Notamacropus eugenii: one gene and its partners. The protein of the gene in region 1 purifies or fractionates together with the protein of each later gene. This does not show direct contact. Links are inferred from orthologs where the notes say so. Each region holds a gene or a part of one and is shown in the gene's direction. Other genes may lie near its edges.

Evidence for each region.
Region 2: the proteins of WWOX (region 1) and DVL2 purify together in Homo sapiens (affinity purification with mass spectrometry; 4 studies listed by BioGRID and IntAct, counting the BioPlex papers as one, with this or other methods). This does not show direct contact. The link is inferred for Notamacropus eugenii from reciprocal best matches to the Homo sapiens genes WWOX and DVL2.
Region 3: the proteins of WWOX (region 1) and VOPP1 purify together in Homo sapiens (affinity purification with mass spectrometry; 3 studies listed by BioGRID and IntAct, with this or other methods). This does not show direct contact. The link is inferred for Notamacropus eugenii from reciprocal best matches to the Homo sapiens genes WWOX and VOPP1.
Region 4: the proteins of WWOX (region 1) and ERBB4 purify together in Homo sapiens (affinity purification with western blotting; 4 studies listed by BioGRID). This does not show direct contact. The link is inferred for Notamacropus eugenii from reciprocal best matches to the Homo sapiens genes WWOX and ERBB4.

What each region holds. Positions count from the first base shown.
Region 1 is NC_092872.1:678,302,721-678,309,736, reverse strand, and holds the start of WWOX (WW domain-containing oxidoreductase), read left to right. Parts: upstream 1-3,996; 5' UTR 3,997-5,103; coding exon 5,104-5,210; intron 5,211-7,016. UniProt on the Homo sapiens protein: Putative oxidoreductase. Acts as a tumor suppressor and plays a role in apoptosis. Required for normal bone development. May function synergistically with p53/TP53 to control genotoxic stress-induced cell death.
Region 2 is NC_092873.1:78,832,408-78,839,565, forward strand, and holds the start of DVL2 (segment polarity protein dishevelled homolog DVL-2), read left to right. Parts: upstream 1-4,145; 5' UTR 4,146-4,249; coding exon 4,250-4,446; intron 4,447-5,875; coding exon 5,876-5,945; intron 5,946-6,315; coding exon 6,316-6,461; intron 6,462-6,604; coding exon 6,605-6,714; intron 6,715-6,901; coding exon 6,902-7,037; intron 7,038-7,158. Other genes in the region: PHF23 (PHD finger protein 23), read left to right, coding at 456-487, 650-742, 1,658-2,501, 2,675-2,889.
Region 3 is NC_092874.1:420,883,288-420,890,652, reverse strand, and holds the start of VOPP1 (WW domain binding protein VOPP1), read left to right. Parts: upstream 1-4,357; 5' UTR 4,358-4,888; coding exon 4,889-4,945; intron 4,946-7,365. UniProt on the Homo sapiens protein: Increases the transcriptional activity of NFKB1 by facilitating its nuclear translocation, DNA-binding and associated apoptotic response, when overexpressed. May sequester WWOX in lysosomal vesicles and thereby regulate WWOX role as tumor suppressor.
Region 4 is NC_092877.1:310,178,209-310,186,111, reverse strand, and holds the start of ERBB4 (receptor tyrosine-protein kinase erbB-4), read left to right. Parts: upstream 1-4,901; 5' UTR 4,902-5,684; coding exon 5,685-5,766; intron 5,767-7,903. UniProt on the Homo sapiens protein: Tyrosine-protein kinase that plays an essential role as cell surface receptor for neuregulins and EGF family members and regulates development of the heart, the central nervous system and the mammary gland, gene transcription, cell proliferation, differentiation, migration and apoptosis.

The sequences.
Region 1 (7,016 bases):
AGGTTATTGAGGACTATTGTTTCTTACTCTCCATTGTCTACTCTGTTCCATTGATACATATATATATATACATACATATATATATTTTAACTAGTACTACATCGGTTTGATGACTGCTGCTTTATAATACAGGTTGAGGTCTAGAAGTTTGATTCCCCCTTAATATCACCCTCTTTTCATCATTTCCCTGGATATTTCATATCTTTTGTTTTCACAAACAAATTTGTTTATCAAAGTTCTAAAAAAATTATCATCTTGGCAATCCACTTGGTATAGCATTAAAATGTAAATTAACTTTGATAGTATTGTCATTTTTATTATATTGGCATTGCCTAGTCATAAGCCATAAATATTCCACTAGCTGTTTAAGCTGGTTTTTCTTATTTTAAGTAGACTTTCTATTTGAAGCTCTACAAATCTTTTATGTGCTTTGGTAGGTTTATTCCCAGATATTTTATGCATTTTGTAGTTATTCAAGATGGAATTTCCCTTTCTATTACTGCTTCTTCTGTCTTGCTATTATTATGTAGAAATGCTATTGATTTTTGAGGATTTATTTTCCCAATTACATTAAATGCTTTTAGTATTAATTTTTTAAAAATTTGACTTCTAAATTCTCTCCCTCCCTTCTGCCCTTTCCCTACCCCTGGAGAAGGTAAGGAATTTGATAACAATTATACCTGTGAAGTCATGAAAACCATATTTTGATATCACTTATGTTGCAAAAGAAACACACAAAACCCCCAAGAAAAATCAAATAAAAAAGTATGCTTCAATCTATACTTACAGTTCATCGGTTTTCTCTCTGGTAGAGCATAGCACATTTCTTCATCGGTTCTTTGTAACTGCTTTGGATCATTTGTTTTTATCAGAGTAGCTGAGTCTTTCACAATTGATCACCATAACAATATTGTGTTACTGTGTACAATGTTCTCTTGGTTCTGCTTACTTCATTTTGCCTCAGTTAAATACCACTTTTCAGGGTTTTTTTGAAGCCATTCTGCTGGTCATTTCTTATAGCACAATAAACGTTTTCTCATAATCATATACCACAACTTATTTAGCCATTCTCCAATTGATGGGCATCCCCTCAATTTCCACTTCTTTGCCCTCACAAAAGGAGCTGATATAAATATTTTCATGTGAACAGGTCCTTTTCCTTTTCTGCTGAAGCTATTGTCTCAGTATCTTTTTTTGGATTTTCCAAGTATAACATCATAACATTAGTAAATTGGGATCATTTTATCTCCTCATTATCTATCTTTGTCTTTAATTTTTTCTTGTCTTTTTTTGCTTTGCTAGCATTTCTAGCACTATATCAAATAATAGTGGAAAAAGTGAGTATCTTTGCTTCCCTCCCTTATTTTTTGAAAAAGGTTCTAATGTATCTCCATTGCATCTGATAATCATTTAATATCAATTTAATAACCTCAATAAGGGCCAGAGTCTGAATTTATCAACCAGAAGAAGATTTTGGACCTGACAACCTCTTTGTTTTCTGAAGTAAACTCAGAAACTACCTTTTCCTATGTCAACAAGGCCAGATGGGGCTGACTTAAGAGCATTTTCCTCTGCTTAAGGATGAGACCCTTAATCTGAGACACTATCTTGAAAAATGGGACTTTTTCTGTATCTTAATATTTTGTGGACATATACTATGTTATGGCATGTTAATAGTAAAAAAACCACAGATATCCTGGGTCATAATTTCAATTGATGTTTTGTCAACTCTTTTATCTTATTGTATTTACCACCTATTCAATTAAGAAAATTCCTTTCTCATAATTTGGTTAATCATATATGGGGATTGTTCTAAAATGTGTTTAAGCCTAGTCATTCTTATTCCAGACAGTCAGAACTTATGTTTTGGCTCCCTGAAGCATGTATCTGCTAACTTTAAGGGAATAAACAATATGAATTTACATATCATCTAGCTTGTTTGCCTCTTTAACCAAACTTTCAGGTTGACACATATTATGCTTGCTTTTGGTTTTAGGTAGATGCTTTTTATGATTTAAAAAAAAATCCCTCATTGCCTATGCTTTGTAGGCTTTTTAGCATAAAAGAGAGATGTGCATTGTTAAAGATGCTTTTAAGATGTGCTTTTTTCTGCATCTATTAAGATGATCATGTGATATTGGATGTTTTGTTTTTGATACAATTATGTTTATTGTTTTCTTAATGTTAAATATTTCATTCTTGCATCCCTGGTATAATTCCCATTTGATCATAATGAATGATTTCTTGGATACATTGTTATAGTCTGTTTGATAGAATTTGGTCGAAATTTTTGGGTCAATATTCTTTAATGATGTTGACTTATAGTTTTCCTGCTTTAGGAATTAGGATTAAGTTTTCTCATAAAAGGATTCTGGTAGATTTTTTTTCTCTTTCAATTTTCAGAATAATTTGCCTAGTTTGAGTATTAATTGTTCTTTAAAGTTTTAATAGAATTCTGAGTATCAGAACCAAGAATTTTTTTTGCTTTTCTCTTTATAGCTACATTTGTTTCCTTTTCTAAAATTAAGTTATTTAACATCTGTATCTGGTTTTCTGATAGTATGCACATTTTATATGTTCAAAGGCATTCCTCTCTTTCTTTTGTTTCCAGTTTTGTTAGCATATAGCTGTGTATGATATGCTCAGATCATTCTTTTTTTTGTGAGATTTCTTTTTTTGTGTTTTTGAGATTTATACATATATTTATGTGTCCATATATATGTATATATACATATTCAAAGCATCAGTTTTTAGTTCTATTTACTGTTTCTATGGGTTTTTTGTTTCTAATTTATTTCTCCTGTAATTTTTAATATCTCCTCTTTTGTGCACATTTCAGCTTATTTATTTGTTGGCTTTTCAATTTTAAAAAATACATATTAAGTGTATTATTTTTTCTTTTTCTATTTAGTTAATATATATTTGTAGAATGAGATCTTCCCCTTCCCGTTAGGATTGCTTTAGCTATATCACTGAAATTTTGTTATGTTATTTCATTATATTTTCTTTATAATTATAATTAATTACAATTAATAAAATAATTATAAAAAATAATATTTCTTATAATTTCTTTAATAATTATTGTTTTTATGATTTGTTCTTTGATCCATGCATTATTTAGGATTTCAACGTTAGGTTTCCTTTTGAGTCTGTCTTCTGTAAATGTTTTCCCACTTGGCTTATCTGCTTATTTATCATCTTCCTAGTCCAAAGACCTTTAGTACTTGCAGTCTCTCCTCCCTCCAACTCTCATTTATTTTCCTTATCATTCTTCAGTTCCTTCTCCTCCAATTGTGATTTCTTCCGGGGCTGGATCTCAAAGCAGATTAGTCTCTTTCCACCTGGGGCAAATCACAGTTCACCAGCCTATGTCTATGCCCTTAGTTTTAGGTGGGCAGAACTGACCCCATTCAGATGCAATCTCTTTCAGGCTTAGTGGAGTACTACACAGAGTTTCCTCCCACATTCAAAGCTTCTTATAATGGGATGCTGTCCCTCTCCTGTTCCTTAGGTCTGTGGCCCAGCACTAGCTGTAGTGCTACAGGGTTGGTTTCCGCAGTTTGTGTCTCCTAGACTCTGGGACCATGGGCTTGCGAGTTTGAGCTGTTTTTCAAGGTCAGTCACACGTCCTACCCCTCCTGCAGAGATCTTTCCTAGTACTGTTGCTGGACTGTTGAGGACCCAGCATGCTTCTGCCTCTGGAGCAACGCTGTGGTTCTGGTCTTCTGCCCTTTCCAGAACAAATTTTTGCATCCTAGAGCCGTTATCCTCAAGGCTCTGGAAAGAGGGAGTCCCAGAACTTCTTGATGCCAGGACCTTTCCTCTGGGATTACTTTCAGGATGACCTTTGTATGCCCACAGTTCGCAAGATCTCTTGCTAAAATGTGAGCTCCTTAAATTCTGGGGCTGGTTACCTTTTTTTCCTTTTCTTTGTACCTGGTACATAGCTAGGGCTTAATAAACGTTTGCTGACTGTTTGAGTTGAATGTGTAGAAAACACTTTATCTTTCTGCATTCCTTAACATACTATATAAATATGAGTTGCCATTCTGAGTACCAAAAGAGGGTCTCTTCCTTGAAGTCTGCAGGATGGGGTGGGGTGAGGCAAAGAGGGCACTGGGGCACAGTGGACATGTGTGAGTGAAGGGCGAGGTTTCCTAGTTAACACTTATTTTTCTTGTAAATTGGGCAACTTCATTTCCCTTTTTGAACTTGTTTTCTCATCTTTTCAGTGAATTCATTCAGCAGCATAAATGGTAAGTGTTTAACAATTAGCTCTGGGGAAAAATGTACTCACAACGCACTTTTTAAGTTTAATCTGCATTATTAACACATTTTATTAATTTATATTAAATTTAATTAAAATTATTTTTTCGAGTCTGGACAGTCAACAAGCTAAATCAGGCTCTGATACGCAGCTTCTGCCGATCTCCAAAGTATAAAGGGTTCATAGTATACTGCTGAAGAGTAGGTTGTAAAAGGCTTCCCCACAGCAGGCTCCGCATGCCTGGACTCTAAAGAACTGGTGAGTTTGGGGGAGGAAGTGGGAAGCCTGAGGCAGCCTCCAGCGTCCCTTCGGGGTGCGCCCGGAACTACATTTCCCAGCAGGCGCTTCGCGCCAGGCGTGCAGCAACGCGCCAGGACCGCGCTATCGTGGTGACGTATTCGTTCTAATTCCTCCTCTGCGAGAATAGCTTCTAGTTGTAGCCCTCAGGAGTTTTAGCCAGGTAGAAGAGGGGAGAGTGGAATGGGGCAAATAAAATCTCCTTTGTAATTCCGTATGGTTACTGTCCTTCTTTCGCCGCTCTCTCCTCCTCCGGCCTCTTCCTGACTCGCCGCCCCCCACAGCCCGACGTCGCTCCGCTGGGCCCGGACCGGAGGCGCAGCGCTGCGCATGCCCACTGGCCGCGAAGCGGGTGGACCGGCTCCGAGGGAAGCCGGGAGATCGGAGCGCGGGAGCGCAGGAGGGTGAGGGGAGCGGCGGGTGGCGCGCCGGCGAGCAGAGCCGAGCGGAGCCGAGCGGAGCCGAGCCAGCGTCGTGCGGGGGGTTTGCCCGCTGGTGTTCCAGTGCCCGGGCGAGGCGGCGCTGCGCTCTCCCCCACCATGGCTGCGTTGCGCTACGCGGGTCTGGACGACACTGACAGTGAGGACGAGCTGCCCCCGGGCTGGGAGGAGAGGACCACCAAGGACGGCTGGGTGTACTTCGCCAAGTAAGGGGCTGGCGGGGCCGGGCTGCCGCCCCCGCCCGACCTCAGCCCTCCGGTCCTCGCGCCGCACCGTCCGCCTGCCCCTGCAGACCCACCCTCCCCGTCTGTCCCGGCCCCGCTCCGCCTCTCCCCCTCCCCGGACGCCGGTGCCCCTGGGCCCACGCGTGCCGCGGGAGCCCCTGCCCCCCGCGCACTGACGCTCTCTCCCCCTCCCACCTTTACACAGCCCTGCGCGCGGGAGCCCAGGAGCCCCTCGTGCCCATGCCTGCGCGGCTGCTCTTACGTTGGCTCAGATGTGCCCAGACACCTGTGCGCAGGCACCGGTGCACTTACCTTCACTCAGATGTACACTTGTGCACAGGTACCCATGCACTTACATTCACTCAGATGTGCGCATACCTGTGCGCAGGCACCCGTGCACTTACATTCACTCCAGTGTACACACACTTGTGCCCAGGCACCGGTGCACTTACATGCACTCAGATGTGCGCATACCTGTGCGCAGGCACCCATGCACTTACATTCACTCAGATGTACACTTGTGCACAGGTACCCATGCACTTACATTCACTCAGATGTGCGCATACCTGTGCGCAGGCACCCGTGCACTTACATTCACTCAGATGTACACACACTTGTGCCCAGGCACCTGTGCACTTACATTCACTCCAGTGTACACACACCTGTGCGCAGGCACCCGTGCACTTACATTCACTCAGATGTACACACACTTGTGCCCAGGCACCTGTGCACTTACATTCACTCCAGTGTACACACATCTGTACGCAGGCACCTGTGCACTTACTTTCACTCAGATGTACACTTGTGCACAGGCACCCATGCACTTACATTCACTCAGATGTACACACACCTGTGCCCAGACACCCGTGCACTTACATTCACTCAGATGTACACTTGTGACCAGGCACCTGTGCACTTACATTCACTCACATGTACACTTGTGCACAGACACCCATACACTTAACATTCACTCAGATGTGCACACACCTGTGCCCAGACACCCGTGCACTTACATTCACTCAGATATACACACACTTGTGACCAGGCACCCGTGCACTTACAGTCACTCAGATGTGCACACACCTGTGTGTGCACTTGCGCGCACTTGTGGACCTACCTCTGCAGCTGCTCTTACAGGCACACACATACTTAAGGCATAGCACAAAGTCCTCTCCAAGTCTGTGATTTGGTAATACAGCTTACACCGTCTCTGTCACTGATACATTCTCATTCAGGGCTCACCTACAGAAACTTCCTCCCTTCCCCTGTAAATACAGACTTAGACACAACTCTATGTGATGTGCATTCTCACAGCTGTCATATTCCTTCACCCTGAAATTAATTCACGTTTCTATCCCACTTTGATAAATTGTCTAATTTGAGCCTCCCAACAATTCTGCGGAGCTGAGACTGCAAGCATTTATTATTCTCATTTTAGTGATGAGGAAACTGAGGTATAGAGTAGTTAAGTGACTTGTCCGGGGTCACTCAGCTAGTAAGTGTCTGAGGCCATACTTGAACTCGGGCCCACTGCTCTATGCACTTTGTGTAAAACTCTTGGAAGAGATACAAAGATCATTTAGAAGTGGCCTTAAAGGAGTGTATGAGGCCAGCCAAAGTGTCACACACATTGTCATACTGTCACATAACACCATAGAATCATACAACCATTAGGAGAGAAGGATCTAATCCAACCCCCTTTTTTAGCACAGAGAGAGGAAATGACTTCCCCAAGGTCACATGGTTAGAAAATGGCAGAGCTAAGACTCTTAAGTCAATCTTTCTGAC
Region 2 (7,158 bases), on another chromosome or scaffold:
ATTAAACCTGAGAACTTTGAGGAGTGGGAACAAGGGATTCTGCATGAACTGGCCAGAAAAGAGAATCCAGAGACTAGAGTGGTGGGGCACAGGACCTGATGGTGTGTGGGAGTGTCCCAACCAAAGGGATTGGGAATGGGAGCCCAGAATAAAGGGCAAAGGAGGAGCCAGGGGCCCTTGGGACCACGAAGGGTAACAGTGGAAAGAAGTAGAGTAGAACCTGGAGAAACATCAACATGGGAGGGCACATGTAAACCATTGCACTCTGAGAAGACTGGGCACTGGAACAAGGAAGATTAGCTAGGAAGAAAGTGGGAGCACAATCACTCATGCCTCCTGTGGGAAGGGAGGGAGGAAAGAGAGGTGGGGGGTCCTTCAAGAGTAACAACGTTTGGGGAAAGAAGCATGTACATTTTTCCAGTACCTTGACTCAGGGCTTTTATTGATTTTTTCAGATCTTCCTCCAAACCTGAAGCCAGAGGCCCAGGTGAGATTTCCCTTCCTACTTCAACCCAAACTTTCTTTAGGGAACCAGACATGTAAGATTCCCCCAGATCTCTACTCCTTCTACCTCTTTTCAGGGGAACTTTGCTTTTGGACCACTGTTCCCTTTGAAAATCCAGGTGTCTGATTCCTTCTTTTTCTGTAGCCCCCTGAAAAACGAAGGCGAACAATTGAGGATTTCAACAAATTTTGCAGTTTTGTCTTGGCATATGCCGGCTACATTCCCTCCAGCAAAGAGGTAGGGGCAATGATCTTAAGGATGGGATGTGAAGGATTTGGGTGAGGGCAAAGGGAGGGAAGGCTATTGTATAAGATTTAGGGAGATTGAAGGGGTAAAGGGGAGTTTAAGGGTAGTTATGGAAATAAATCTAGAAGGTCTATGAAGAAAAAAATGTGGTTTTTTTTTTCGCGTTGGGCGATGTGATAGGATGGAGAATCAAAGGATATCAAAAATGGAGAAGTTATGGGGGTTCAAGAGAATTAGAATTAATGGAGATAAAGTTAATGTAGGCAGTTGCAGGAGGAAGGGACAAGTTAGGGAACTAGGACAATTGGGGAATGATGGTTTTGTTTGTTATTTTGGGTGTGCCAGAAAAGTTTTTGAGAGTCTTGGGGGCACTCTTGGGATCTTGTGGAGGTAAGGTTGAAGATATCTGTGGTTGCATTTAGTGTCATGAGGCCTTGGCTCAAATCCTGTCCAAGATAATTGCTATCGATGATCATAAGCATCTATAAAATCGGGATGACACTTAAACTGTCTGCTTGACAAGGTTGTAAGGAAGTCCATTTGCAAACCTTAAAAGTTCTGTGTACTGTCTGGTTATTATTATTAGAATTACGGTTAGGATAATAGATCATGGGGGGGAGATATGGGTTCTAGTGACAAAAGACACTTCATGGAGATGTTTGGAGACTGCTTAGTTTAGGGGCTGAATTGTTGGCATTTATAGGGAGGTAGGTGGGTTGGTTAGATAATCTGAATTGGTTGGGCTTGGAGAAGTTAACTGTGTGCAAGAGACCCAGGGTATTAGATGACTGCTGTAGTACCCGGTTGTGGTTAAGTCTGATGTGTCTTGCAAGTGTGGGAAATGGAGTTGGAATTTTGTTGAAAGGGGGCACCAACACTTAACCCTCCCTTCCCACCCACCCCTAGGAAAGTGACTGGCCAGCCTCTGGCTCTAGTTCACCATTTCGGGGAGAGAGTGCTGCAGATAGTGATGGCTGGGATTCAGCCCCTTCAGACCTTCGAACCATCCAGACTTTTGTCAAAAAGGCTAAATCTTCTAAGAGGAGGGCTGCTCAAGCAGGTCCCCCTCCACCAGGGCCCACCTTCCCTCGACTGCAGGCCTCTGACAATGCTACACTGCTTGAGAAGATGAAGCTTAAGGACTCTCTCTTTGATCTGGATGGACCCAAAGTGGCACCCCCTCTGGTCCCCGCACCCCCAACACATGTCCCTCGGCCCCCTACTACCCTCACCCCTGTCATTGCTTCCCAGGAGGATCTCCCTCAACCCTCCCGAAAAAAGGACCGAAAGAACCGAAAATTGGGGCCAGGAGGGGGAGGAAGCTTTGGAGTGCTTCGGAGACCTCGATCAGCTCCTGCAGATGGTGAGAAGAGGTCAAGAATAAAGAAGAGTAAGAAACGAAAGTTGAAAAAGCCGGAAAGGGGGGATCGACCCCCCCCTTCTGGGCCCCCTCGGGCTCTTCCCAGTGACACAGACTCTGAAGAAGAGGAAGAGGAGGAGGAGGAGGAGGAAGATGAAATGGTAGCAGTGACAACAGCAGTAGCAGGCAGTTGTGGGGGTGAGGCCCCAGCTTCTGCACTCCCTCCACCCCCTGAGGCTCCCCGGCCCTTCACCTCAACCCCCCCAGGAGGAATCCCTGCTGAGAGTGAAGCCAAGGAAGTGGGGAGCACAGAGACAAGCCAGGATGGGGATGGGAGCTCCAGTGAGGGTGAAATGCGGGTAATGGATGAGGACATCATGGTAGAATCAGGTAAGAAGGGTGTTTGAGGGAAGTACTCTGGGGAGTAGGGGTGGGAAGACAGAAGAACATACACTTTTGTCCCTGAAGGGAGTGGGTTCTTTGGGATGGAGGGGGGAATGCTTGAAATTCTCTAGACTGTGAGTCTTCAGCAGAAATCTGATCACAACCATCCCTTCTCTCAGGTGATGACTCATGGGACTTGATCACCTGTTATTGCCAGAAGCCCTTTGCAGGGAGGCCCATGATTGAGTGCAGTTTGTGTGGAACATGGATCCATCTTTCATGTGCTAAGATTAAGAAGACCAATGTCCCTGACATATTTTACTGCCAGAAGTGCAAGGAGTTGCGGCCAGAGGCCCGGCGGTCTGGTGGTCTCTCCAAGCCTGGAGAGCCCTAGGACCCATCCAAACTTTTCTTACTTCAAGTCGGAACTCTTCACAGACATCATCAACTGAGACGGGGTCCCAATGTTGCCACTGATCCATTGGGATTTGAACACTGTCCCATGATGGGGTGGGGATTCTCAAGGAAGGCTTACTTGGGAATGAATGGGTCTTTCCCTAAAGACTTTAGGACTTGAATTTTGACCCATTGAACAGGAAGATGCCCCTGTTCCTAAGATTCCCTACTTCATCCCTTCACTGTTCTGCCAGTTGACCCTGCTCACTCCCATATCCACCAGCCCAGACTTAGGGCTGGAATCAGGGTGGGGTGAGGCAGTTGTCTATACCTCTAGTGTAATATAGCATTGCCCACCCCTTTCTTCTGTCATTTGTTTGGACCCTTGCCTTTTATTTTCTCAAACCTCTTCCCCCATTTCTTTCCTTCTGAAAACCTTTTGGCTCAGGTGGCCTAAAGGAACGTAACACATGGGTCTCTTGTCTTTTGTGGGGGACAGGTGATATTTCCATCATCTCCCCACTTCTTTGTTTTAATAATATTGGCCAGCTGCTTGTACATACCGCGTGTTTGTAAATAAAACAGTGGGCTCTTTTGTGTTTATAGCCCTGTGACCCTTGTCCTTTCCTTCTTGGAAGATATGTATCTGATGGAGAAAAGGAGGGAAAGCAAGGCTAAGCGATCGTGTTCTTCCCCCCAAAATGCTGAGGTCTAGCCCGTGTCCAGCCCTCTAAGGTCTCCTGGTTTAGACACTCGAACGTAAGCCTTTGGACCATAAGTGAGAAAGTTCCCAGTAGCCGGCTCCGAGTGAGTGTCTGTTCTTCGGGGCTGGGGGGCATGGTGAGGATGTGTGGGGACAGAGGTGTAAGAAGAGGGCTGGTCTGTGAAGGAAGGTGTTTTCTTGGTCCCCGGACGATGGTGAGAGCTGGAGGTAATTTTAGGGGCGGGCCCCGGCTGGGGATTGGGAGAGGGAAGATGAGGGAAGAGTGAGGGGGTGGGAGTTTTCGGGGGAAGGGACGGCAGCACCGTGGGTGGGCAGAGGCTGGGGAGTCCTCACGTGACCGAGGGGAGCTGAGGAGCCGGAAGTGAGGCGTACCGTGTCACGTGAGGGGGCGGCAGTGGGAAGTGTGTGGCGTGGGGCTGGGTGGGAGGGAGGGGACGCCGGGAGGGCGTCCACTTCGGAGGTGTAAGCGGGCCGGGCTCCGCCCCCTCCCCCTCCCCTAGCCTGCCCGGGATGGCTGGCTGGGCTGAGCGGCCGTGTGCGCAGGCGCGGCGGCCGCGGCGGCTGGGCCGGGGCTGGTGGGAGCGGGGAGAGGAGAGGGGAGCTCGGAGGCGGGGAGGGCGACGCGGGCCAGACCATGGCGGGCAGCGGCGCCGCTGGGCTCGGCGGGGCCGGCGAGACCAAGGTGATCTACCATCTGGACGAGGAGGAGACGCCGTACCTGGTCAAGATCCCGGTCCCGGCCGAGCGCATCACCCTGGGAGACTTTAAGAGCGTCCTGCAGCGCCCCGCCGGGGCCAAGTACTACTTCAAGTCAATGGACCAGGACTTCGGGTGAGCGCGGGGCGCGGGGCCCAGGGCCCGGCCGCGGCCGGGAGGCGTGGCGGGGCCCGGGGCCGCAGCCCTGGGCGTGGATGCCGCTCGGGAGGCCGGGGGGAGAAGTAGAAGGCTTCGTGCCGCTTTGGACCGTCGGAAAATCAGACCGAACCTTATTTTGCAGATGTGGAAACTGAGGCACTGAGAGGTTAAGTGGCTTTGCCCAGTTACACAGATAGTCAATGTCAGAGCCAGAATTAGAACCCAGGTCTCTAGACGTGCAGTCAGGCTCTTCCCACTGACTTCTGGGTGACGAGGTTGGCACTGCTTTTGTCACACTTAAAACAAAAAGTGATAAATGAAGGTAAGCCATCCTTCTGATGACGAGGATAGTGCTGGGGACTGAGTGTGCTGGGCCGTGTCTCCTCGTCCTGACGGAGAGAATCCTGGGCTGTTAGTGAGGTGCCCCGAAAGGCCAGTGGTGGAGGGTGTGCAGTTAGGGGACAAAGTCAGTGTGATCTCCTGGAGGAGGTGTGGATCAAAGAGACCTACAGAGGGAAGGAAGACTAGGAAATTTGGGCATTGCAGGATTGGTGGGTCTGTCTCTTTGCATTCTATGAAATCTTGCGCTGGGGAAAGGAAAAAGGGAGAGTTGTCATTCCTTTGAAGTTTGGGGTGGAATGGGGAGGGTAGTTTCCACCCTGATGGGAGAGACACAGCCCTCACCCTTGGCCAGTCTGATAGAGTGCTCACCTAGACGCATGCAGAAATCCAGGTGCAGATGGTATATATTTGGGAGGATTTCTAGACATGGATCAGAGGGAAGGGGAAAGAAAAACATTCACTGACTGGACAGAGCTTCAGACAGGAGTGCTGGTAGGTAATAGTGGAATGAAAGCTGGGGGTAAATGAGATCAGTCAAGACTCCCATTGGAACAGAATTAGGAAATTAGGAAGAGTTGTAGATTTGGGAAGTAAGGGGGACACATCTCTGCAAAGACTTGATGTCTGGAGAAGGTAAAGCAGGGGCAAAAGAAAGGGGGACCATGTTTACCCAACTGGGGTAGAGAGACCTTAAGGTTAGACAAATAGTTTAAGGAGATTGGGTGAGCTTGGGGGGGTTACTCTTGAAAGTTAAGCTAAGAAGTTTCAAGTAAACGCAAGAAACATTTAAAACTCCTGCCAGGTTCTTAGGTTGAAAAGAAAAGGAAAAGGAAGTAAGTAGGAAGAATTACTAGGTAGGGGGATTCCTAGAGGGAGATGAGGAGTTGGGCTGTTATTAACTTGAGGGAGTGAGGAGGGGAAATGCTAACTGTCTTTAAAAGACCCCCCCTAATGCCCCACATTAGGAGGGGCTCAAAAAGAAGGCTGAAATGTTCAAAGGCAGAACCTTTGAAACAGCCTTATTTCATCTAGCACTGTTGACTTTGTTCTCATCTCCTTGCAGCGTGGTGAAGGAAGAGATTTCAGATGACAATGCCCGATTGCCTTGCTTCAATGGGAGAGTGGTCTCTTGGGTAAGGTGGCTTGAGGGGAATGAGGGGACCCTCATTCTTCCACATTAGCATCCCCACCAGTTTCCTTAAAAGGAACGCCTCCTCACCACTCTGCTCTTGCCCCTGCCTCGCTTTCAGATTTTTCCTATTCCCTTCCCTCAGAACAACTTTTCAGTCTCATAAACCCCAGTTTACCATTCTATGTGACTCTCAAGATTCTTTTCTTTGAGTTTCTAGGTTTTGTTTTTCTATCTTGGGTCCCCTTCCAGGTTCTCCTTATCATCTCCATCTTCTTCTCCCTCCCTCCTAGAATCATTTCCCCACCGGAACTTTTACCCTGTTCTTACCTTTCCTAAAAGTCCTTTTTCATCCCTGTTCCCCACCTCTGTAGCTTGTGTCCTCAGATAACCCACAGCCAGAGAATGCTCCCCCAGCCCCTGAACCTCGGGCAGAACCCTCATCTCCACCCCCACCACTGCCTCCCCTCCCTCCTGAAAGGACTAGCGGCATTGGGGACTCAAGGCCTCCATCCTTCCAGTGAGTACTGGGGAGCCTTGTTGGTGATGGGAGGGAGAGAAAAGATCAGCTTCTAGTTAGATTCTGGGGCTGGCTGATCATCATTGCTTTTAGGAGGAATCCCATCATCATTACCTTTTTCCCTGACCCCATTCCTTTTCTAGCCCTAATGTATCGAGCAGCCGAGAGAACCTGGAACCTGAGACAGAAACCGAGTCAGTAATATCACTGAGACGGGAGCGGTCCAGGAGAAGAGAGAGCATTGATCATGTTGGTAAGGGCAGTCACACTCCTAAATTCTGAGAAAAGGAGGCATGGTTTGTGCAGTATGCACATTCTGGGTCCAAAAGGAGATAGGAGCAGTGAAAGATGGGCAGGGGAGAACCAGGGACATAGGGTGCTAGACTTTGGATCTCCCTGGAGCAGAAGTCCAGCCACCTATATCCATACATCTTACTAAGGTGGGGGCCATCGGCCTAGTGGTTCTTCCCGCCTGGAGCGACACCTGGCTGGCTATGAGAGCTCCTCTACTCTACTAACTAGTGAACTGGAGAACACCAGCCTGGGAGATTCAGATGAGGATGATACCATGAGCAGGTATGTCTTATATCTCCCTTTCCATTCTGTCCCCACACTCCTTACTCCCCTCCTCACCTGAAGCTGATGTGATTCCTCTTTCTGCTTACCTTAGATCTCTGTTTTTCTTTGCCCACATTAT
Region 3 (7,365 bases), on another chromosome or scaffold:
ACAGGTTCTTAGATCTGCATTCATAAAAGGAAAGCAACTTTCAACGGGTTAACAATCACTTTAATCAAGCACAGGAATCAGAGAAAATCAAAATTTCAGAGAAAATACAGAGAAATCAAAAGTCAACAGACATGCTTCCAAAATGTCTGACCATTACATGCTTACATGACCAAAGAGGGAAGCATCAACTTCTGGGTTATAGCAGTGGTTGGGGGTGGGGTGGTAGTGTCCTTAGCAGCCTCCCAGAGTCTCTCTGGCCAAAGAAACACTTCCACTCAGTAAGCTCCAGAGTAAAACCTCATTCCGAGTATTTATACACTTTTTAGAGTCAGAGGGCGTAACCCCAAGTGCCTCAACAGAAAAAAAACCCCAAAAGGTATTTGGGACCAACCTACAAAACAACTCCCCTAATCAAGCTTCCCGCAATGGACAGGCCCATCAAAGGGTGGGAAAGATCCTCCTTACCATTATTCAATCATTGGCACTTTTAATAAAATAAAAACAGCAAAAGATCCCATTTTACTTGCCATTACAGACTTAAAAGTCAAAAGAAATCTGGGTTCAAATACTGTTATGGAAAAATCACTTCACCTCCCCAAGTCTCAGTTTCCTCATCTGTAAAGTGGGGACAATACACCTGTAGCACCTACCTCACAGCATTATGAGGACCCAAAGGGATCATTTAGATAAACCACTTTGAAAACTTTAAGGCGCTAAATAAAGAGCAGGTTCTGTTATTTAACTTACATCATGAAGTTGGTAAATCGCAAAATACATCTTTCAGAAAACTTGAGAATATAAAAAAATGGAGGCTATAGAAAATGCCAAGGATGGTTAATTGAAATTACAGTAATTATGTGACTAGCAAAAGAAACCCAGATAATTTATGCAAATTTCAATGTGTTGGCAAGTGACTTATGGCAGCAATAGGTGACTAAATTTGCCTATAAGGAACCTTTGGGATTGCTTAGAAAGTTGAGTGGGAGGGATGGGACAGGTGGAGAATGCAGCAGTCTGCCAAATCAGACTGTGCAAGCCAGGGAATTCTTCCTTGAATTCTCTCCCCTTGCTTTTGGATATGCCCAAGTTTCCTCCATCTTAACAACAAAACAAAACAAAGCAAGCCTTGCTTAATGTTTCTGCTTCCTTCAGTTACTGTATGTATTATTTCTTTCCCTTCTTTTTCTGATGAACTCCACACTTCAATTCCTCCTTAAGCCCTGGTAAACTGGGTTTTTAAAACAGATTTATTGAGTGAACCAACCAACTTTTTGCCAAATCTACTGATCTATTTTTAGGCTTTTGTCTCCGTGACTCCCCTGCAGTATCTAATACTATGTGGTATATGAAGTGCGCTGGAAATAACAATGAATTTGGATTTAAAAGACCTAGGTTGGAAAGTTAGCTCTGTTACTACTTCTACGACCTTGAGCAAGTAGTTTAATGTTCTGGGCCTCAGTTTTTTTCATCAAGCTTCCCGCAATGGACAGGCCCATCAATGGGTGGGAAAGATCCTCCTTACCATTATTCAATCATTGGCACTTTTAATAAAATAAAAACAGCAAAAGATCCCATAATCCTTAAGAGATCTTCTAGCTCTAAATACTAGGATAACTCCCTTCTTCTCTAAACCCTTTCTTCCTTAAGATTCTGTTTCCCTAAATCATCCAAGTCTAATCACTTTTCCATCAGTTTCTCTTTTCTATCCTATCTCCTACCATCTCTTCTGACCGACGTCTTCAGAAAGCATGGTCTCTAATCTTCAATCTCTCCCTATCTATTAGCATATTCCCAGCTGCCTACAAATACCTGAAGTTATCTCCCAGTCTTTAAAAAACCTTCATCTGACTCTACCATCCCTTCAAGCTATCTTCCTTTATCTCTTCTCTTTCACCAAATTCTTTCTTGTTACCATTTTCTCTCCCCCCATTCACTTGTCAACTCCATCTCCTAACTTACTTATTGAGGATAGCACTATTTCCTTATTTAAAAATTGTTCCATTTAATAAAAATGTGTTATAAAATGTAGGTTCTGAAAAAAAAAGTCATAAATCCTTCAAGAAGCAGATTTAAAGTGAGCCAGATATTTATTGAAGTGATTAAAGGAAAACCTAAAGGTACTTAAAAAAAACTGACTTTTATACAAACTTGAACTTTTATACAAACTTGAACACAGTTAATAAGTGTCTGAGGCCATACTGGAACTCAGGAAGATGAATCTTCTTGACTCCGGCCTGGCACTTCATTCACTTCTTCTAGCTGCTTAATTGATGGTGCCTAACTGCATGGCACACTTAGTAACAAACAGCCTTCCAACTCAAACTCATAAATAGACATAACCATAAAATGACAGCACACGTCATATTGTTGCTAGCACCACCATTCTCCCAGTTACCTGGGTCTGCATTTTTTGCATCATTTTGCTAACTGGCTTTAGGATCACAGATTATAGAATTTGGAATGGAAAGAGAACAGAGATAAGTTATTCTTGTCTATGGTCTTTCCTCCAATCCACTCTGCCTCCTGCTACCCAGACAATCTCCCTAAAACTTCTTTTTCTTCATGCCACCCTCTTGAACATATACCAGTTCTTTAATTTCTCTGGGCAGCTGCCTGGCACAGTAGATAGAGCACTGGGCCTAGACTCTGGAAGACTCATCCTCCAGAGTTCAAATCTGGCTTCAGACATTTAGTAGCTGTGTGACCCTGGGCAAGTCACTTCACCTTGTTTCCTCAGTTTCCTCATCTGTAAAATGAGCTGGAGGAGGAAATGACCAACCACTCTATTTTGCCTAGAAAACACTCAAATGGGGTGACAAAGAGTTGGACATAACTGAAATGACTCAACAACAACAAAAATGCCTCTGACATAAAATCTAAACTCAAGACTGTTCTCAGTCTAACTCTACGCCCTACCTGTCCAACCTTTCTTTAACTACTCCTCAAAACTCTTTGCTCTGGCCAGATACAATTTGACCCTGCCTACAAACGTGCTGCCTTGTTTCATAGCCCTTGGTCACGCTATTTCCACAGCCATTTCAATCCAACACCAATCCAACTTTTAGATCTCAATTAAAGCCTCTTTTCTTTTAGGAGGCCTGAGGCTTCTAGTCTCCAAAGTTATATAGCCAACACTTATCTGCACTCTGTTTGCCCTATCACTCAGCTCTCACAGTCTTTTAGTTTTTTCTTTTCATGCTTTCTTATTTCTTTCAGTTTGATTGCAAGGAGCTGGAGGCGAGATTTCTCCCTTATCTGCCTTGGATCTTTGCTATGGAATCCAGTGATGAAAGACTGAAATTTGTGGTTCCCAAATCCTCAAAGTCTGACCTGGCAAGCAACACGACCAATGCCTTAGGAATCATTGGATCACATATCCAGAACTGGGAGGAACCTCCTTAGTGATCCCGTCCAACTCACTCACATTTAGGGATGAACTAAGACCCTGGGGGTTTTAGTGACTTTCCTAATGTTACATTGTAAATGGTGGCATCTTAATCTGAACCTATGTCTTCGGACTACAAACCCAGTAGCCTTTGCACTGTATTGTATTACCAGGCGCATAAACAGCACGCTATGTTTCCAAAAACCTTACTCCAATGAGAGCTATGGATTCCAATATCTAAATCGGAGAAAAGGAATATTTGTGTCCTCAGGGACAGCTCCCATATGAACTACACACCTGTCCATCTCCATACTCCTAATATCTGCTTTTGTTTTCTTTCTTCTGCTGCATTCGCCCCATTCACCGGTGGGGTCTCGAGATATGTGTATTCCGTCGCTCACAACAGGAGGAAAGGTGGGGGGAGAGGTCGGGAAGTATGACCTCCCCGGTATAACCAAGAGAGGAGTGATGCTGAGGAATCCTTGCCGCTCCCTATTCCATCTGCCTCCTCGGTTCATTTCGTTCTTGCGCTGGGAGGGGGGTTCTCCTGCCCTCCTGAGGCCCACTCTTCCTGGCACTTGAGGGGGCTGCTTTACCCATCCATTGGCTCACCTACCCGGCCCTTCTCCAAGTAGTTCCCGCCATCTCCCTTCCGGGACCTTCCCCCTCTTGTCTCCCCCAGCTCGGGCCTCCTTCACCTTGGCCCTGGCCGTCTGGAGATTCCGCCGGTCCCCTCCAACCTTCCCTGTCCCCAGGTCCGGGGCGCAGAGTGCGCTCGGTGCGCAGGGTGCTCGGTGAGGGAGACGGCCTCCCCGTACCCCATCCCAGCCTCGCCCCGGGAGGGAGTGTCTGGGTAGCCCCGAGCTCTCCGAGCACGGCATGCCCACGGTGCGGGCTCCGGCCTCGCGCGCTCGGGGCGCGCCCACATTTGCCTCCGCTGTCCATCGTGCCAGCCGGCTCCCCGGCTTCAGCTCGCGGGAGGGGGGAGAAAGAGCGAGCGGGCCGGCTCTCCGCCTCCTCCCTGCACTGTGCACGCCCACTGCGTGTGTGTGTGTGTGTGTGCGTGTGTGTGTGTGTGTGTGTGTGTGTGTGTGTGTGCAAGAGCCAGCGCACGCACAGACACACACACACACACACACACACACACACACACACACACACACACACACACACACACACACACACACACACACACACACACGCACGCGCGCTCGCGGGGCGGGGAAGCCTGGCTCTGCCAGGAGAGCGGAGCCGCGTCGGTCACTCCCAGGACTTCGCTCCGTTCCCCGGCTCTCCTTGGGCTCCGGCTCCCGAGGGCGGCGCGCCCGGAGGCACGCAGGCGGCTCCCAGGCTTGCTCCCACCCACCGTCCCTCCCCTCCGGGGACAGGATGAGGGGGCTCGTTCCGCGGACTGCTCGCCAGCGTTTCTGAAGCCGGAGGAGGACCAGGGGGAGAGCCGCACGCCCTTTCTCTGCCCGCCGGGACCGGAGCGGAGAAGGAGCCATGAAGCCGGCTCCGTGGAGGATCCTCCTCTCGCTGCTGCTGTGGCTCCTGCTGGAGGTAGGCACTGGGGACCGGGGCTGCCCGATCACCTTCGCAGATGTGTCCTGGAAACGCAAACAATAACCCAGAAAGGAGCGGTGGCGTGGCAAGTTCGGGGACCGGCTGCCTGCCTCGCGATCGCCCGGGACAAGCCCACCTCGAGGACACCGGGGCGTTGGTTTGGAAACCGGGGCTCACCGGAGGCACCGATATCTAGATGCACAAATGCCAGCCGCTGAATAGCCTAGCTTAGAGTCACTGCTGAGACACCCTGGAAAGGGGGTCTGCCGTGCCTGACCCTTTCCCCGACTCCTCTCTCCTCCCTTGTAGCCAGCTACCTCTTGGCTGGACATGCTGCTTTATTTGGGTTTGTCCTCTCCAGTGCGGAGGAATCAGGAACCTTTTGGAAAGGAAAATCTGTCTGGAGGTAGCCTGGAAATGAGTATGTTGAGCTGGGAAGGTGGATAGGGAAAGGCCTTATCTTACCTAGGGACTGTAGGGGAAGAACTACTATCTCCCCAGAGGCATCCTGGGGAGCAAATCTGTGGATAAGGTTATTAGGAAGTCCTCCTATTGAAAGTGACGTGCCCTGAATTTCGTTTGGTCTCGGTGCGGTCGGTTCACCTTGGGCTCCTGTGGAGCAGGTGTACAGTTAGAGAATTTCAGAGGGATTCTGCTAACCTATCTCCGACGAAAGTAAGAGGGGAAAACTCCCCCCCACTAAGCAACCCTGCATACTTCTTAAAAAGGAGAGCTGCCAGTTTGAGAACGTGGCCAGAAACCGGCACAGAAATAGAAGAAAGGCTTGTTGCTGTGTGGAAATTGACTCACTTAAGTAGTGAACATATTGAGCCACGTTCCCTTTCTTGGAACGGATTGAGGTTGTAAGCTTCCTAGCTAAATCTGATAAGGCCTGCGCACAGATTGAGGTTAGGGCTGGCTTGGAAGTTGGATCCCTGTTTGGACACCTGCCCATTTGTTGATGGAGTGTGTTCTCTAAAGTGGGCAGGAGCCAGAACGCGGTGGGGATGGAGTGGCTGAATTAACTTTGTTCTCGGCATCAGTCATTTCAGATGAAGCAATAGTTAACATCTAAACTCAAACAGGATGGGAAAGGAGGGGCACCCTAACTCTTACTGTATTCTGAACGGTAAAGCCCTTGGGGAAGATTGTGGAAACTTTCCTTCTTTTTGCGAGGGTCTGAGTTCGTTCTGCAAAGGACTAGTTTTTCCCCTCCTTTCTCCCTCATAAAATAATAATATTTTTGTATTTTGAGAGCAAATCTTAGTTCTCATAAAAAGACTAGTCCATCTGGTTTAAACCAGGCAGGTTGCCATAAAAGTTTCTCCCACAAAGCTCTGACAATATGCTCCTACTTCGTTCTTATCAAAGACTTCCCTGTTTTGTTTTGTTTTGGGTAGAAAAATGCCTTCCTGGTGTATTTTTTTTAATCTGTGTGTGTGTGTGTGTGTGTGCGCGCGCGTGCGCACGCACGCCTGAGTGCATGCTTAGTGTTGTCTGGTTGTTTAAGATTTGAAAACCTAGAAAGCTTATAGCTTCAGTGAATTTACAGGTGACTTTAACCAAGAAGAAAAAGGAGACGCAATTGTTTACATGAAACTTTATTGTATGTATGTGTTAATGCATCCATGCATATGTTGCATTTTAGGCCTTGGGTGAATTAATCTAGCATTATTTTTACTTTGAGTCTACCCATTAGCTCCTTCCAAGGGAAGTTATACCACTACTACCACAGTCTTTCTTATCAGGAATACAGTACTTTTGCAAAGTATTTTTATTGGTGGGAAATACACCAGAGCCGTCTCTGAAAGGAATGATAGAACTAGCTCTAGGGCAAAGCAGTACAATGATAGTACCCTCCAAATAAGAAAGGCTGGCAAACAAAACCCAACATCTGGTTCTTTGGGAACTTCTGGAAGATTGAATTTTTGGCCCTATCCTGGATGATGGTGGATTGTTGTGTTGACAGCTTGTAATTGATGGTAATACAAACTCCTCAGCTTGGCATTTAAAGTCCTTCACAATCTGGCTCCTCTTTACCTTTCCAGACTTATTTTCTATCACTCCCCTTCATGTACTCTGTGTTCCAGCCAAACTGCACAGCTAATTGTTGACTCCTGTCTTCTGACCCTAGGCCTTAGTGTTGCCTGCCCTTAGAGTCTAGAATGCGCCTCTCTCCTCATTCTTAGAATTTCTAGCTTCCTTTAAGACTCTGCTCAGGTGCTGGGTCATAATGGAAGCCTTTCTAGATTTCCCCTTAGAGGATGTTGATCTTTGTTTTCCTGAAGTGTTCTCATAGACACATATCTGCTTCCATATTGTGTCCCTTAGTAGAATGGAAGACCTTTGAGGTTAGGGACTTAAAAACAGTGTAAAGTAACAGTCTTTATCCTGGAATCCCCAGTACCTAGTGGCAT
Region 4 (7,903 bases), on another chromosome or scaffold:
TTCTCACTACTCTTGTGACTGCCATGTTACTTCAGGTCTTCATCCCCTGTTGGCTGGACTATTGCAGTAGTCTCCTAATTGATTTTTTTCCCTTCATTCTCTTCCCAAAACACAGAGCTGCCAAAGACATTTTTTTAAGCCTAGATCTGACCATGTTACTTCCTTTTCAATAAATTCTAGTGGCTCCTTATTGTCCCTTGGTAATAAACTCCTCTGTTTGTGACTTAAAGACTTTTATAACTATGCCCCAAACTACCTTTCTGTTTCTATTATATATCACTCTCCACTTACTTGGGGGTCCAGAATGAGGATAGAGTGCCAGTCCTGGAGTCAGGAAGATTCCTCTTCCTGAATTCAAATCTGGCCTCAGACACTTACAAGCTGTATGACCCTGGGCAAGTCACTTGGCCCTGTTTGCTTCAGTTTTCTCATCTGTAAAATGAGCTGGAGAAGGAAATGGCAAACCATTCCAGCATCTTTGCAAGAAAACCCCAAATGCGGTCACACAGTCAGACATGACTGTAACAACTCAACAACAACCAAAATAAATAATTATTTCTGGATAAATTTTTAAATTAATTTTTTCAATTGTCAAAAATGTCTTTTTTTTTCCTCTCCTACCACCATCCCCACTTGGAAAAAGATAAAAATAAAACCTTTGTAACAAGTAAGCATAATGAAAAAATTCCCATATAGGCCATGTCCAAAAACATGTATCTCACTCTACATATTTTTAGTCCATCTCTTTTCTGTAAGGAGGTAGGATGCATTTTTCATCATCCATTTTCTGAAAGCAAGAGTGATCATTGTGGTGATCAGAGGTTTTAAGTATTGTTTGATTTTACAATGTTAATGAAATGATATAAATTATTTTCTTGGTTCTGCTTGCTTCACTCTGCACCTGATGACTCTTTTTAATGAATAGCTATGATCATATCACTCCCCTACTAAAAATTTTAATGGCTACCCAGTACCTAAAAAATAAAGCTCTAACTCTTTATCCTGGCATCCAAGACCCCCCTCCCCTTTGTCTGAATCCAATTTACTTCTCCTGCCATATCATTTACCACTCCCTTTCCCATAATCTATTCTCTAGCTAAATTGGATTTTTCAGCTTGTGTCCTGTGTTTTCAAGCTATCGTTCCATGACCCCCACTATCTCCTAACTTGGAATGTTTTCCCTTCCATTTTTGCCTATTGACATTTTACCAACACTTCAAAGTCCAGTTTAAATGTCACTTTCTCCAAGAGTCCTTTCCTGATACCCTACCATGTAGGTAGAACTTCTTCTACTGGTATCTCTTAGAGCATTTTGAATCTCTTTTATATTTTATCTGTCTCTACTTTGTATTGTATTTATTTGAGTATAACATACACACATATACGTACATGTATACATATATGTATATGTCTTATCATTTCCTATTATGTTATAAATTTCTTAGGGTTAGGGGTTTTGTCTTATTCATCTTTGAATCTCTTTTAACCCAGGCACAGTGACTTACATGTGGTACACACTTAATATGGGAGACGGAAATGGCAAACCACTTCAATATCCTTGCCAAGAAAATCCCACAGATAATATGGTCCACCAGGTCATGGAGAGCTGTACTTGACTGAATGACTGAAAAACAACAATGCACTCAATACATTTCAATGAACAAATGAATCTAGTACAAAGTCATCTCTGAGGATTATCACTTAGGTTAGGAGAAACAGGAAAACTTGAGAACAGTCATGTCTGATACATGACATCAGAGAGGAAGAAACAACTTGGGAAAGGATTATTGGGTCATTTTTCTCTCCACTTTCTCCTCACCAAGACATGAGTACCAATTTCACCTTCCTCCAGTAGGGGGAGGGTTTTGTCCCCAGTTTCCATCACCACGAACTTCAGGGCTGGAAAGTGACCTGCATGAACTCTGCCTTGCTTTTCTTCTATATCACCCCAAGACCATTGTACCTATGTACACAGGAAGATGGACAAGATTTTTAATCAGCAAATAAGAACTGAACATCTATATGTTATGGCTGCTCTAGAGTCTTCAAAAGAAGTAAAAAATGTATAGGATATAGTTTGTACTACTCAGAAATTTCCAAACTGGAGAGTAGGAATCAGAATAAAACTGAAATGATTAGATAACAATACAGGACTGAATATAATTAAAGGCTAATGTAGTACAGATTGTAAAGCTTAAAGACCCAGTCTACGTGAGCTAGTGTGGTGTAATAAGAATAATAAAAAACGGAGACAACAAGTAGCATTTCTGTAGTGCTTTTAAGATTTGCAAAGTGAAAAGCATGTCAGTTCTTCTGAAGTCCACAAAAACCCTGTGAGGTAGGTACTATTATTATCCCCATTTACAGGTGAGGAAACTGAGACCCAGAGAGGTTCAGCACCTTGCCCCAAAAGAATCCTGCACTTAGCATTAGATGTCTTGACTTTGGGACTCTTTGTGTTACTGTGGAAAAGTCAATTAACCTCCCTGAATCTCAGTTTCCTCATTTTTTAAAAAAGAGAATGATAATATTTTCTTAAGATGTTGTGATGAAAGTGTTTTATAATCTTCAAAGAACTATAGAAACAAGCAATTTTTTTGAGGCAGCTGTGGTATGCTAGAAGAGCATCAAATTCTGGATTCACAAATGGTTTCGAATCCCAGCCCTGCTACCCACAAGCCCCATCTACTTGAACAAGTCACATATCTTGGCAGAACCTTGGTTTCATCTGTAAAATCAGGGTGACAGTGACTGCACTAATATCTCATTGGGCTGCAGTGAGGTTCAAAACTTGACTTTGTAAGGCATAAATAAATCACTATGGGAATGTGACTTGATATTGTTACTTATTATTATTCATCAAAAGAGGAAAGAATGTTGGAAGAGAAGAAAGTAGCTGAAAAAAAAAAAAAGAAGAGAGGGGCAGACAAAAATTGGAACAAAAATGACAGCCGAAAAGGCAGCTTACACAGTCCCATTGCAATCAGTGCCTCTGATTGCTCCTATCTAATATCCAGTCTGAGAGGTTGCTTTACCTGTGCCGGTTTACCAGGGTCCCTTTCATCTCTCTCAAGCTGTATTCATTTAAAGTCCTGGGGATCGGAGGTTGACTCAGAAACTAACAGTAGCAGCAGCAACAACAACACAACAACACAGCAATCCCCCTTCCAAAGTACTGCCACTTGTACACGCAAGGCAGTAAAATCTTCCAGCTCTATAAAGGGTCTCTGGGGTATTTATTCCATATTTATTTGACCCAAGCCTCTGCTGATGTTCTTAAGTGACAAAGCCTAGGAAAGAAAGGGGAAGTACTTCAGGTGAAATAAGAAACGGAGTTGGCAGGGGGGGGGGGGGGGCATGGTGGTGTTGACTCCAGCAGTTCTTGCTTCTCGCTGCTGTTACTTTCAAGGAAAACCAACAGTGAAAATATTTTTATCTCAGGGATAATTGTACAAATATCACCATATCACCTTTCAAACTTGAGAGTCAGGTTGACCCAGCTCATGTGGGGTCAAGTACTGGCCACTGATTGAATTCACTACCACAATAAATAAAGGACCCTTGAGGAATTAGGTTGATCCTGGAGTGGACCTTGGTAGTTAGTTTATTTCCAAGATGGGCTTCTTGTGCAAATGGATCTTTTGGATGAGTCATTGGATATGTGTGAGACTCAATTCTGTATTGACCAAATTACTTGAAGACATGAGTGATGTAGGCTGACTACCATTTGGGATTGAAAGGCACTCTCTGGACTTGAAATCACACTCTGGATTACCTTCAAATTGGCATAGCGAGCCACGGAAAGTGGATCTATAAAGTTAAAAGATTCATAAAATTTCAGGGCTGGCCCAGTTCCCTCATTTTATAGACCAGGAGGTCAAAACTAAGAGTAGCTAAGTGACTTATCCAAGGTCATAAAGTTATCTAATGGCCAAGCCAGGAGATAACTCCATTTTTCTTTTTTTGCCTGAAAAATACCCTTCCCATTCTGCCATAGTTATTTCCCTAGTTGGAGTAGATGAGATCTTCTCACTGTCCCAGAATAATTTCCTTGAATTGGCTGCATTTATGCCTCTATCTCAGTTCTTCAGCCAGAACTCAATGTGGAAAAGTTTCTAGGGGCGGAGGCCTGCTCTCTGGGAGTGTGAAGGATAAAAGGATGATGACTGGATATTAGCAAGTGATACCTGGCATTGTTCTCTTGGATTGTGGTCAGAGCTATGGTTCTAGCTCACAGCTTGCTCCTTTCCGGAGCCTCGGAGCCATGGTTAAATGATAGAGAAGGACTCGCCAGTGTGAGAGGAGGAGGATTTTTTCCCTTTCTTGTAAGCAAGACTTTTTTATTCTGCCAAGACTCCTTTCTCTTGGTCTCACCTCTTTGGAAAGAGGGCTATGTGTGCTAGCCCTTGAATTATTATTATTTTTGAGCGGAGTGAAGTTGAGGAAGGGGGAGACACAACTTATTTTTTTTTCCTTCTGAGAATCCCTTTTTGCAGTCTGCTTTTGAGCTTTGGCCTTGTTTCTCTTTCTGGGGAAGAGGGAGAGGCAAGGCAGCGTCCCTTCAGACCACCATGGGGGCAATCGGGGCCTTTTCCCCATCTAAGCACCCCCTCTGGGCATACTGCCCAGCACTGCCTGCCAGCTGTCCTGGGACTCTGGCTGGGGCGGGGGGGGGCGACGGGGGGGTGGAGAAGCGGGGGGCGGGAAGAGGAGTGTCTTAACCTCACAGTTGGCACTAGCCCTTTAAGACCAGCTCCCCTCCCCCGCCCACGCCACCCCTTTCATTCTCCTGACAGGTGTTCTCCCAACTCTGGAGGCTCAGGATTTTGGGGAGTGGCTGAGCCAATGAGATTTTAGATTTGGGGAGGGGGGGTGGAATGGGAGAAGGGGTGTGGCTAGCTGGGTCAGAGCAGAGGCGGGGTTTAAGCCACCAAGCTGTGTCTGTCTCTCAGTCCCTCGTTCCGTGGAGGGTTTTCCTTTCTCACAACGCCCCCCCCTCCCATACTCCCCTCTCCCCAATCCCGCTTCCATTTTTTTTTTTTTTTTTGGAGTCTTGCTAATTTCTCCAAGCTGCTGTTACCGCTGCGGCCGCTGCCTCTGCGAAAGAAGGGGGAGCGCTGGAATCGACGCTCGGAGGCTTTAACTCCTACAGCCGCTGGACAAGTCTGAGGAGCCCGGAGCGGGGGTGAGGAGGGGACGGCCGGAGCCGTGGGAGACGCCAGGGGCTCTCCTCCAGCCTCCCCCGACTCACACCGGGGGTGTGCACAGGGAGCACCAAAGGAGGAGAGAGCAGTGCTTGCAAGAGAGCGAAAAGCAGGAAATCTACCACCTTGGTGAGAGCAACTTTTTTTCTTCTCTCTTTTTATTGTTGACCAACCCGAAGGAGCGAGTGCAAGACAGAGGACGATCACTGGGGGAAATCTACTCACAGTTGGACCTCAACTGGGACCGGCAGCAGCGCTGACACACAACACGCGCACCCTCATTCACCTCCATTCCTGGAATAGCCGGCGCGCACAGATACACACACACACACACACACACACACACAAATACACTGTGCACCTCTCTTTCTCTCTTCCCAGTACCCACTCTCGCCCATCCACATCCATCTGAGGGATACAATAAGGGGATATGCGATTTGGACATGTAATTGTCGGCAAAGGATTTGAGACTTCCAAAAAATGAAGCTGGCTTCGAGACTGTGGGTCTGTGTGAGCCTTCTCGTGGTAGCCTGGACCCCCCAGCCCGGAGCTTCTCAGTCAGGTGGGTCGCAGTCTCTGCTTTCTATCGCTCTCCCTCCAGCTGTGGAACCTGCTGCTGTCTGGATGATTTGTGTTTGTGGTCTCCCCTCCCTCCCACTTCCCGCCTCTATTGATAGATCGTTTCCAGTCTCGGAGAAGCTGATCCGAATTTGTTTCATCGCCGCCCCCTGCATCATTTCCACCTCCAACTTGCTTGGTTTTGCTCTCCTTCTAGTGCGTGCGTGGAAATCACTATGTAACCCCTTTCTCCTCCGTCTCTCTCCCTCACCTCCCCCCCCCCCCACCCCAGTCTCTTCTTTTTCGCTCTGTGGGTTAGCAGAAGGCTTAGTTCTTTCAGCCTGCTTGTCTAAGACGTAGAAGACGCACACGGAAAATCCCAATCAGCGCAGACAATTCCCCTTTTTTTCCACCTCTCCTGCCTCTCCACCCCTCCGTCCCCGAAAGAAAAGAGACGGAGTAAATAGGACTTTTTGGCTGTTCCGCGGCGCGAAAAAGAAAAAGGATCGATCATTGCCTTGCTCCTTCTGTGGAGCTCCTGGCCTTTTGATTCCAAAGCGCCTCATGTGTCTATGTCCGTGTGCGCTTTTGTACCTGCGTGGGGGAGAGAAGCAGGAATAGGGCTCTGACACAAGTCACCCGAGTGTTGACATAGCCAAGATTTCAGACATAGTCCGGAGACAGTCACAGCATACAGCTGCTACCAGAAAAGCATCGTTTTCTTAACACCACCCGCTTTCCTGTTTTGACCAGAAGCTGATCTCTTAAAACTCACAATCCATCTAGATCCCTTTTCTTTAACAGCCCCCGGTAGGGTCGAGAGAGTGTCTGGTAGAGGGTCTAGCAGCCAAAGGGCTTGGCAAACTTTATTCACGAGAATAACAGCCGCACTCTGTGAGGTTAGACGCCCATCAGAGTTCCTCCTGCTAGTGTCTACTATTGGCCAGGGTCCCTCAAACTTCCCTGTTAGAATTGGGGCTGGTCGGATAGCTCGCCCATCACTTGATCCTTTCTAATCCGAGGCGAATCGGGCACCACGGTGCGCTAGCTGTTGGCTGGGCTGCTTAGCCTCAGGTAGCAGGACGCACGAATGTAACTGAACAGAAAAGGAGGAGGGGTCGGGGGAGAGCTTAGTGGCAGGGTCTTTGACAGGACGTGTCGTGCGAGTGAGCTAAAAGTTTCTGACACTTGAGCTTCCCAGATGATAGGAATGGGAACGAGGAGATGGCTGATCAGGGGACTGAGTGTAGCCAAAAGGAAAGAGAGATGTCTGAGATGGCCAGAGGGTGCCATTTGGACAGCCGGTGCTGTTTCCTGATCTGGCAGCAAGTGATCACACCAGAGATACTTGATGTAGCGTGGGAGGCTGGCTGACAAGATAAAGCTTCAGGGGTAGGAAGAAGGGGAGGGGTTAAGGAGAATGCTTTAGGGACGCCTATGGTGTCCTTGTGACCTTAAGCAGAAAAGACGCCGCTTAGTTTTCTTACTCCCTACGCCAGCTATCTCTCCTCCCTCTCCTCTCCACTCCAGCCTTCTCCTTCCCTCTTCTTCAAGCAAACACCCAGTTATCATCACTGGGGCTTTAAAAATGATACTAGAATTCCTGGTCTTTGCCTTTTATATGCTGTGTTAAGTACTGCCAAAGCCTGCCTTCAGATCAGCCTCGGAATCACCCCAGTGCGGCTTGCAGATTTCAAGGCAGCCTCCTGGCCACTGGCCTTTCGTCTTCGTCCCACGATCCTCTCCATATTTTCCTCAATGAGTTGATTATGCAGGTTGACCCATTCAAAAGCACTTGAGGCTGACATATATGCTTAGCTGATAGGAATTTCTATGAGGCAGCCTAGTGGGGGTTTGTCTGGTTCAGCCTCAGCCATGGGGACCGCCTCGGAGTCTACAGCAATTTGGTATTAAGTGTGCGGCTCAGGGGTTGAGCTCTTCCTCAAAGCTCTTTTCAGAATTTCTGTAAGGAATGTAATCCAAATTAGTTCTGCAGCTGTCCTCTTCCTCATCGCAGTGCACAGCACTTCTACTCCCCCCCCCCCCCCCCCCCCCAGCCTTTGGCGAATTGTCATAACCCAAAGTGAGTTCTTTCTGGAGTGTGAGGCTTTGAGTCCCATTGTTATTCGGGCGGTGACTAT